2 linked regions of the Drosophila melanogaster genome follow. The protein of the gene in region 1 purifies or fractionates together with the protein of each later gene. This does not show direct contact. Each region holds a gene or a part of one and is shown on either strand. Other genes may lie near its edges.

What was found.
Region 2: the proteins of l(2)10685 (region 1) and stum purify together in Drosophila melanogaster (affinity purification with mass spectrometry, with the first as the bait; one large-scale study listed by BioGRID). This does not show direct contact.

Annotation. Positions count from the first base shown.
Region 1 is NT_033779.5:1,145,621-1,150,607, reverse strand, and holds l(2)10685 (lethal (2) 10685), read right to left. Parts: upstream 2,787-4,987; 5' UTR 2,744-2,786; coding exon 1,232-2,743; 3' UTR 1,159-1,231; downstream 1-1,158. Other genes in the region: Tfb4 (transcription factor B4), read left to right, coding at 49-229, 282-477, 539-957, 1,022-1,094; MFS3 (major facilitator superfamily transporter 3), read right to left, coding at 3,533-3,715, 3,783-4,069, 4,136-4,987.
Region 2 is NT_033778.4:21,672,260-21,678,326, reverse strand, and holds the start of stum (stumble), read right to left. Parts: upstream 3,427-6,067; 5' UTR 3,025-3,426; intron 2,254-3,024; exon of another isoform or gene 1,998-2,253; 5' UTR 1,813-1,997; coding exon 1,001-1,812; intron 939-1,000; coding exon 471-938; intron 403-470; coding exon 1-402. Other genes in the region: CG15676 (uncharacterized protein), read right to left, coding at 6,050-6,067.

The sequences.
Region 1 (4,987 bases):
TTAAACAAGAATGGAATGAAAACAATGATTTATGAACGCAATTTTCAGCCGAATCATGCATCGACCTCTTGGTGATCGTCCTGGACACGAACCCCTCCCAGCACTTCGTGCGCCAGAACCCACAGAACCTCACGCAAATCCTGGAGGCGGTGATTGCCTTTGGGAATGCTCACCTGATGCAGAAGGCCCAGAACAAACTGGCTGTGGTATCCTGCTCCCACCATGCCACGTGAGTAGAGGCTGCCACACATGTACGCCACCTAATGGCTCTTCCATTACAGAAACTTCCTGTATCCGCTGCCCAGAAGACAAGTGGAACTGCGCCAAGTGGATGGGCAGTACGAGGCGTTTAATCTGGTGGAGAAGACGGTGAAGCAGCAGCTGGGCAGCATCCTGATGAACGCACCACGGCTCAGCGCTCCTTGTGAGAGTCTCCTGGCCGGCAGCATGTCCATGGCGCTGTGCTACATATCAAGGGTAGAGAATAGCTAGGAATCGCCTTGGGAAACCAAATCTAAAACAAAATACTCCCGTACAGCTCCAGAGGAATCTGGCTCCTGGCGTCAAGATGCATTCCCGCATCCTGGTCGTCACAGGCAGCAACGAGTGCGCCTCGCAGTACATGACGTTCATGAACGTCTTCTTCACCGCCCAGAAACTGGGCATCACGATCGATACCTGCGCCCTGGACAAGACCCTCAGTTTGCTACAGCAAGGCTGTGACATTACCTCCGGACAGTTCCTCAAGGTCACCCAGCTGGACGGCCTGCTGCAGTACCTCCTGTGGGTCTTCCTGCCCGCCCCGCAGATCCGTCACAAATTGGTCCTGCCGCCACCGCCCAAAGTGGACTACCGCGCCTCCTGCTTCTGCCATCGTGAGCTGATCGACATTGGCTACGTCTGCTCGGTTTGCCTCTCGGTCTTCTGCAAATACAGTCCCATATGCACCACTTGCCAGTGAGTACAATTTAAACTTCAATTAACTAGAACTTAACTTAAGGAGCCTGACTATACTTTCCAGCACCATTTTCAAGAATCCCGGTCCTCTGCCCATCAAGGGCAAAAAGAAAAAGAAGACCGACAAGCAAATGTAATTCCAGCAGTAGAAAATACTGGTTACCAAAGGAAGCAGTATGTTAAATATAAAGGTACCTTTTTAGTTTACAACTCTTATTATTTATTGGGGCAACAGTTATATAGTCTTGTTAATCAGCCAACAACTTTCATTTAATCACACATTTCTGGTTATTTTACTAAAGTACATGGGTCCAAAGTTGGCCGGCAGGTAGGGCACCACCATTTGTCCATACTTGAGTCCCTTTGGGTGCTCGAACTTGAAGACATCGCTGAAGAGCGCCGTGTGGCGACTCAGATCCTTGATGGTAGTTGTGATGCCGTACTCCGTGAAGACCTTTTGCAGAGCCATGTGGACGACACCATCGTTCTGGATGGGCGACAGCGAGCAGGTGGAGTAGACCAAACTGCCGCCTGGTCGCAGGAGACGCAAGCAGTTGGCCAGGATGCCTGCCTGGAGCTCTGGTATCCGCAGGCGCTCCTTTATGCGCGTCGGCTTGAAAATATTGTTGTCCTGCTCGTTGAGCACATGGCGATCCGTGGTGCAGGGCACGTCGACCAGGATCTTGTCGAACTGCTCGTACTGGTCCAGATTGCGGGCGTCACTCTGGCTGAGGATGAGGCGCTTTCCAGCCCAGCGCTCCTTGTAGTCGAACAGGTACTCCTGCATCACTTTGCGCAGCTTGTTTAGGCGGGATTCTTGGATGTCATTGCAGACCAGGTGGTCCAAGTGCAGCGTCTGCAGCATAAGCAGCGATTTGCCGCCGGGAGAGGCACAGGCATCGAGCACACGCTCGCCAGGCTTCACCTGCAGGAAGAGAGGCGGCAAAGTCGAGGCACCATCCATCATAAAGTGGGAGAGCACACCGGTCATGCACTTCTTGGGTCCCTTGAAGTCCGAGCAGTTGCCCATTTCATATGTGTACAGGGACAGATGCTCGGGGTAGTGAAAGGAAGGCTCCGGTTCAATGGCGAGCGGGAAGTCGGCGCTGGTTTGGTAGTACTTGTAGTGCTCCGACTCTGCCACCCAGTCCTCCATGCCCTTGATGCTGTGGGCAGGCATGTATTCATACAGTCCGCCTGTGCCAAATTGGGGATCCACCAACCGATGCTCGTCCAGCTTCACATCCTCCTCCAAAGCCTTCGTCAGGCTCTGCTTGAAGGGATTATTCACTTGCTCCGGCTGATCTTCCTCTACGTTGTCAAACTTCAGTTCCAGCGGCAGTGGCGCCGATGAACCATCTTCTGGCGAGCTCGGGTATATGGAGGCCACCTCGCGCTCCTGCTGTTTCCGCAGCAGTGCATCCAGTTTGCTTTCAATTTCATGACGTGATTTGCCTTGTTCCGGCACCGTCTCCGTGCTGTCCTTTACCCGATCCTGCGCCAGGTTAATAAGCGACTTCATGTTGATGGCTCCATCTGACTCCAGCATGGCGCACGTCTGCTCCGTGTCCCCGAAATTGTTGACCAGGGCGACATACTTGTGCCTCGTGAGAAGCGCCGCCCGCATGTTCTTCCACCGGGTGCCGTAGACACTTCCGTAGAAGTCATCGAAGTTCTCCAGCGCTCGGTCACAGTTGTTCTTCTTGTTCTGCAGGACATTCCATCGCTTCTTGGCGCCACTCTTCCACCTCCTGGACAGCAAACAAACGTTCCGTGCTTTCAACATTTTCCGCAATCCGTTGAAACCGGCAAAGGCAAACTGATTACATGAAATCATATGTTTCTGCCGGAATATCGATAACGGACTCTGTCTTTTGGCGCCGCAGGTTATCGGAGTTTAAATTGTGATAAGGATGCAAAGAAAGTTGGTTCTTAGATGTTACAATCAATTTCACAACCCAATCTTTGCATTGTTGAGTTAGGATCATCCTCTAGCCTTACATCTTTTGCCATTTAGTTACATCATGCAATTGTTCATATCTTCAACCAAACAGATAGAACAGATCCCCTGTTTATATATTTTTTTATACGTACAGAGTTGTAACTAAATCCTCTGAGATTCTGTGGAATGGCTTATTGCTAGCGCTAAATATAAACAGGAAAATGGGGTCATTCACCCAGAATTTCCATCGAAATTGAGGCTGAGACCCATTCTCCCTTCCCCACCAGAATTTGTTTAGGAACCCCCGTGCATCCACTATTACGTCGCTTTATTTGTAGACAACTTTTGAAATCAAGAGTGTTAAGTACATTAGGCGGGCTGAAGTGTTTATCCGTAATGGATACGGCTACTAACTATTGGTTTACAGCGATCTAAAAACTACAGTGCACGCCCTAAATAGCGAACGTATGTTCAATGAATTCGCTATTCAGGGTGGGCATTGTACACTTGTAATTGGTATTTACAGTCCAGCATTGACCATTCCACTTTGAACTGGCTTTATCCAAGAGTTATCCGAATAAGCAGCAGTTCGTCGAGTAATTGAGGCAGAAGATTCGGGGCGAGATTGTTGGCTTAGGGCTTAGTTGGCAGCTCCTTCAACGGAGTCTTTTCGTCCTTGGCCTCGGGATCCTTGGGAGTTCCGGCCTTGTTCCACGGCTGCTCGCTGCCCGATCCCAAGAAGACGAATACCAGGAATTCCAAGGCGAACAGCACGATGGTCACTCCGAAAATGATGCGCCAGGCGCCAATGTTTTGCTAAAAGAATGATTCGAGAAAGCCATTTGAAGATATTTTCGAGAATATTCAGATGCATTTCTCTTACATTTCCCTTGGTGACGAAGCCCACGAAGAGGGGGACAACAATACCAGGTAGCGTAGCCGCCGTGTTGGTCAGAGCCACCAGGGTGCCGGCGAAGTTCGGTGCGATGTCGATGTGGTTGGACAGGAAGCCGGAGAACATGGAGCCCATGGCCACAATGCCCACGGACATGACAGACACCGCCTCATAGTGACGGCATCCGATGTAGCAGAGGACCAGCAGACAAACTCCAGGGATCAGGGTGCAAATGGAGGTGGCCGTCTTGCGGGCAACGGTGGTGGTGATCTTACCTAGAAAGCACATTAAGGTATTTATACCACTCACCCTTCAAAGGTCCAATAATGTGTCCGACTTACCCTTGGCCTGCAGACTGTCGAGGAGCTTGCCCAGACAGATGCTGAAGATGATCATGGGGAAGTAGGGCAGAGCACTGAGGGCTGCATTGCTGGCCACGTTGAACTTGAGCACCTGCTTCATGTAGAAGGGAATCTCGATGAGGAACATATACCAGCCGAAGTTGCTGCAGGTGTGGGCGATGAGAATGGCCCAGAAGGGCACGGAGGTGAAGACCTTGCCCCATGGAACCGCCGGGTGGTGCTCCGTCTTCTGTTCGGTGCCCAGCGAGCTGGTGATCATTTGGCGCTCCTCCAGACTGATGAAACGCTGCTTGTTGGGGTTGTCCTGGACCAGAATGACCCACAGCAACATCCAGATGCAGCTAAGTGCGCCCATGACATAGAAGACCGACTCCCAGCCCCATTGGGCGGAGCACACGCCGGCCAGGAGGATGGAAAGAGCCGTACCCGCAGATGTGCCCACGTAGATGATGGTGGACATGACCATGCGCTCCGTGGGAGGGGCCCAGGAGGCGATCATCACGTGCATGGCCGGGAAGGAGGCTCCTCCGCCGACGCCCTCAAGCACTCGCATCAGAATCAGGCCACCGTAATGCAATTCAGTAAAGACGGGCGTTAGCAGCGTGCACACGACGTTGATGGCCACCGAGAAGAGCATCACCCACTTGGCGGAGAAGTTCTCGGCGACGTGTGCCAGCGGAATCTGCGAGACCAAATAGCCCCAGAAGTAGCAGCTCAGCAGGGTTCCCTGCAGGGGCTCGCTCCAGTCGAAGGGACCGTCCTCCACCTTAGCCGTCACATTGGAGGCACCACCCGGCGGGTTGCATTCCTCCACCAGGGACACTTGGGAGG
Region 2 (6,067 bases), on another chromosome or scaffold:
GCTCTTGGCGTGAAGGTGTCGATGGAGGAGGTCAGCGAGTCCCGCTGCTGGAGAATGCCCTTCTGCGGAATGGCCAGCTTGCTGCGACTGTGGCGTCCACTCATATTGAACTGAACCGATGGGCGTGGCGAGTCATCCGTGGTCTGGTGGACGAGGTGACTGGTGTAACCCAGCGCGGAGGGCAGCTCAGGCAGTCGCGGCTCTGAGCCAAAGATCGATCTCCGTCGAGGACTGATCTGAGGCCTGCCGGCCGGCGATGAGGTAGTCGTCGATGTCGACTGAATGGAGGCGTGTCTTCCTCTGGTGGGAGCTTGTTGTGGAGGCCGAGGAGCAGAAGAAGCTGCCTGTCCCGTGGAAAGTATCGTGAAAGCAGTCTTTTTGTGTGGACGAGGTTGCTCCACTCTAGAGGGGACAGAAAAACTTGAATATATGTATTATCTTTATGGATATTTTCCACAGGATAACCTTACCTATAATCTCCGCCCATAGGTATTGAATCCCTGATGATAACTGGGGACATTTCCCGCTTTAAGCTATGTTCAGGCTCCACACTGCGGCTGTCATCCTGCTCCGTCAAGTCAGTTCTACGGAAAGGGGGCGGGTCTGCCGGTGGAGGTGGCATTCTATAGTCCTCCAGCGACTGCCTCTGGCTACCTCTCTCCAGACCCAACTGTTCCTCCAGATATTGCTTCGGTGAGAGTACAACGTCCCTGCTAACGGGCCTGCTTTGGTTGGGTGCCACTCGCTCCTCTCCGCCGCTGCTCGAGCTGTTCATGTCCTGGATCATGGTGGCCAGTGGGGAGAGAGGTCCTTCATCCTGCTTCATCGACATAATCATTTTGGAGCTGGGCCGCAATCGTGGGATGCGTGTGAACTCTGGAAAGTGCTGTGGCGCCGGACGGAACCAATCCCTTCCCGAATAGGAGTCACTGAGTAATCTAAGAGGAGGTAATCACGAAGGATTAGTTTGGATAATATATTGGTGTATTCAAATACCAACCCCCTGTGGTCCTCCGTCGTGATGCTGGACACACTCAACTTGGCGGGCGCTTGGCTAGGAGTCCTCGTCGGCTCATCTTCCTCATCATCGAAAGACATTCTCTGACCGACTACGGTGTACTCCTCGACCTCGTTCTCCAAATCATAAACGTCCGGCTTGTTCAGAATGTCATCGGGGGCCAGGAGCCGATAGTTAGGTGAGCCCAGTTGCTCTGAACTGGAGCCACCGCTCGAGTTGGGCAGAATCTGGATGTCGGGTGGCTGGAGATAAGGCAGTAGGGATCCTCGGGGAGTCCTCGAGTACGGGACACTCGGAAAGATGCGTTCCCTGGCCGCAGGAATAAGTGCGTTCAGCGCCATGGCGGCCACCAGCGCATCCTCCTCGGAGCTGGGCAGTTCCACAGACCCATTTCGCAACGTCTCAAATGCTGCTGTTCCGAAGTAATCATCCGGCTGCAGAGGCGGTGGAACCGGATCCCCAAAGAGGCTACTATACGGCTGGGCATCCGACTCCGAGGGCTGGCGCACAAAGCTCTGATTGGAGGCGAACGTGGAGGGTGCCATCGATTGGGCGGAGAGAATGGAGCGGGTGGTATGGGTGCGATAGCTATAATCAACCGGGATGATGGCCGGCTGGAACGCGGACTCGCCTCCAGTGGATCTGGGTCGTGGTATTGGGTTCGTACTTGGACGTATGTTCAGATTCGGTGTCAGATTCGGGTTCGGTGGCGGCGTCTGTGCGGCTGAGGCTGATGGCATGGGCATCGGGGATGGGGATGGCGATGATGATGAGTACGAGAGGGTCTGCTGCATGGCTTGACATGGGTGCTAACCGATCTTCGGCCCTCATGCATTCACTATGATTTCCTATCCATTGTTGCAGCGTTTTTGCGAAATTCAGTCGTGGTTGCAGTAGTTGGAAGCCGATTTCCACGCAGGACACTCCGCGTTCGTCCTTCGCTTTAGTTTAAGTGCCACAAAACCAATGACGCCAGGAGCTGTTTATTCGAAGCAACAGAATGTATTTAAAAATCACTCACAACACCCATGTGCGCACATCTTTTGATTCCACAGACAGACGACCAGCGAGACCTTCCGGCCCTCTTGCAATGTCAGAGAGACGTACACGCGACGCCTTCACCGGCGGAGAACGGATAACGGAACGAGGAGCACGGAGCACGGAGTAGGCAGTCCCAAAAACCGGAGAGCGAAACTGAAGGGCTGCCGGTTTCATTGCCAATTCGCAGTGATGGAAAAGGGTATTGAGTATGTTTACCTGGGCGAATTTTTAAAAATAATAATAAAAGTAATTTCTGTCTTCATACCAAGTAACTTTTTTCAAATATCCTAAATTTTTAATAGCTTGAGTAAAGTAATTTAAATTCATCAGCAATTAAAAAAAAGTAATTAGGTACAACTGCCCGGATACGTCCGCTTCCATCACTGGTTGTGGCAAAAATAGTAGAGTAATTATTACTGCACGGCTTTATTTTCTAATGCCATTTCACTCCACATTCAACTATAAATAGCTGCGTGCGAGGCGCTGATAAAGCCGCCCCGAAACCAAACCGATTTGAAATCGGAATCGTTATGGTATGCCATGCACCTGCTGCTATATGCGAATCCGAGTCGGACTCCCAACTCCCAAACGCTTGTCTTGGCGCTAACGAGAGCATAACTTGATGAGGAGGCCTCAAAGGCTTGAATGGGGGGAATGGGGATGGGGATTTGCTTTTGGGCGGATGGCTTCGGCTTGGCTGGCTGCACCGGCGTTGCATGTTGCAAATTGCCGCATTAGTGACTGCACTTGAAGTCGAACGACCCGGCAGATGTGGAAGCCAGCGGGCTGAGACTATCCTATCACCAGAAGAAGGCGATGGTTTAATTGGAGCTGTGCGGCTGGGTACGCAGATATTTTAGCGAAATGACGTAGCCCATGAAGGTTTTGGGGGGGAAGGTGGAGGAAAGGTGTGAATGAATGGCCTTTGTTCGCATTGATTTTCCTCTGCCTAATATTTAACCTACATTTTATGGCCCGCCGCTCGAATTTCGGTGACACACTTTGGGCCAAAAGGAAGTGACTTGGCCGGCTCCTTTTCGTTCCTTTCGTTTTGTTTTGGCCATGACGCGTTTTGGGGGAGTTGGCCGGCTCCCAGGCGGCTTAAGCTTCCTATTTGCGAATTGGTTTTTTAATCGCTTGCCGCATTACACGCAGTTTTCTTGCATCTCATTAACGCTCGGTCACACTTGAATAACGAATTTTAATACCTGCCACGTCCACACTGACTGTGTTAGTTTGGTCCTGGAGCGCATTATATAATTTACATTTGGGTTTTAAGTTTAGTCTAATTCGGAAATAGAATGTATTTGCTGAAAAGCCGCAACAAATAATGGAAACGCGACGAAACGTGGCCGCTGCCTAACTTAAACTGATGGCCGACCAGCGGTAAGTGAGCAAAATGGAGGCCTTCAAGAGAAATATTGCCTACACTTCAAATCCAAAACAGCACACAATGCCCCCCCCCCCCACACACACACACACTCGGTGCCCCAACAGTTTGCACACGCAGACCCGCTGAGATATCGAGACTGGCGAACTGAAAAGCCGAAAAGAAAAGGCGACCGGGGGCGCCAATTCGCCGCGACTTTTCCGCGAGTTTTCCGCATTTCGCCGCCTAGCGAGGCGGCTGCATTAGCCGTTTGCATGTCGTTGTGTTCATCTGTGCGGCGTGTGCTTCTTTCTCAGCTCTTTCTGCCTCTTAGACAACTTTTGATTGCTTCCCCCAGTTTCCCCCGGCTGGCTGTGACACCTGTTGGTATGTCTGTGGCACGCGATGTTCCAACACTTTTGTACTTCTACGCCGCACTGCCTGCCACCGAGAAGCTCAGTCAGCTAATTTTTCATACTTTTCGGGATGCCTCATAACTTTAATGCCACTTGTATCTATTGAATGCACGCATGTATTTCAATGAACACTTTCGCTCATTTCACTTTAATGCAGTTTTATGGAGTTGGAGATTGCACATAAGAGCTCTGATTGAACGTAATGATAGGTATTAATAAAAACTTTCCTTTACTGTGTTCAAAAAAATCAGTTTAAAATACGCCTATTGATTTAGTATTGAAAGTAAATATATCCTTATTTTAAGTGTTTGAATATTTTATCCGCTAGAATGTCAAAAAATAGTTATGCGTCGCCCAAAAATTAGGATCACTTAATCACTGTGTGAAAGGTGTCTCTGCCCATAAATATTGCAAAAGGCTTCGGCAGAAGGACGCTTTTCCTGCACTCGACTGAGTGAGTATAAGACCCTCGGCGAGTACACTGCACTTTCCTTGGCTTTGGAATAGGGTCAAAACCGCAACAAATTCCGCGTTGCCTTGTGCAGCGGCTAGGAGTCAACAACACTTGGCCCGCAGCTACGAACTCCTTGGCCAGCCGGGCACTGTTGCAACATCAAGACAACAACGGCAGTGGCAGCAATAACGCCTAAAGACAGGTATGTGTGCAAACACAGACCACCCAAACCAAAGCCACGAATCCCTCGGAACGGGGGGACTTTTAAGTGGCAGTGCCGGAGAAATCCTTGGCTAATGTCGTGTTAGCCCCCAAAAACCCGCCCCTTGTGGGGTCCAACTCGAACCCCCAGTGGAGTCACACGGAGTCACAAGTCGGGGAATTCCTAGAGACATCTACGAGTTAATTGTTTTGGGCTTTTTCACTACACAACCGAGTTGGAAGTTTTTAATGTTTGCGATATATCCGACGATTTCTATCCGATTTTAGGCAGTTTGGTTTTAATTTTTAATGCACCGTTACTTGTAGAGTTATTGTCATAAAAAAAAAGGTGAGAGATTTTCAAATAAAAAACTGAATACCCAAAAAATTCAACGCGCATTTGCATCGATCCGATGCACTGCACTCGCCGTTCGTAGAAAAACTAATCCGCCGTGGGCAAATACCTTCTTATACATCGTCCTGCGCCGTGGAGCTCCACGGCAACTGACCAGTCGGGTTTAGGTGAAGAAACCACCGAAGAAAGCCGAAGTCCACGTTTGGCCAGCCACACGGGTATACGTGGGTCAGTAAACCTACTTCCGGTTGACATAAATACGCCTTGGACATGAAAACTTGGCACTGGCGGCGCGCCGCAAGTTGTTTTTATTGTTTCTAACCTCTTTTTTTTTTGCGCCATGACTCAAGACAGGTGGACAGCGTGGAGTCCACGAGTGCAGGTGTGCAGATGCAGATCTGATTCCCCCAATTGAAGGGGCTTCGATTAGCCGAGCCCAAACTCTTTGGCGGATTCACTTGATCTGGTTGAGAGAGCGCAGCAATCTAATCTCGACTTTGGGCTTGGCTAATCAAAATTCGGGAATAGTGCTGACCCTAATCTAGTGTGCCAAGCCCATGGATGAAAATTCATATAATTCAAAACTGCACCTTTGCTCACTGGGAGCGGTTGGGTAATTTTATTCGCTTGCAATAAGATTTTCCCACGCGATATGTGGCTCATCTGCTGGTCAGTTTTGTCCTTTTGCCATATAATTTGGTATCCTTGGAAGGGAATGGAGTCTACATCATGGGTTGACCCACATCGGGCACAAATTAATATCAATTGTGGCTGGCAGATTGCGTGTGCGAATATGCGGAGGGCTGGAGTAACAGCTGGACGAAGGCATGGGCATGGGATTGAAAGGCATTCAATTGTAATTGGCTGTGACCGAGGATTACACAATGACTAAGCGGTGCTCCCTGGCGAAATTAAGTCATAATTATTATGATGTGTATAGGCTTGTAAATAGCCGAGCTCGGTAATAAAGGTCACATTTTGTAGGGCACAGTCTGGGATCCTACGGTCCCGATACTCTGACCTCTTTACCGGGCTGCTAATAATGTAATTGTAATGAATGAATTAGTGGGGAACTCCAAGGGAGAGCTGTACTTCGTTGGAAATTAAGGCATTTAGACAATAAAGACTTATTTAGAACGAATGTCTTTATAAGCAACTACAAGGTACTAGCAATTTTAAGGATGGTGGGATGCTTCTAGTTCTCCACTTCATG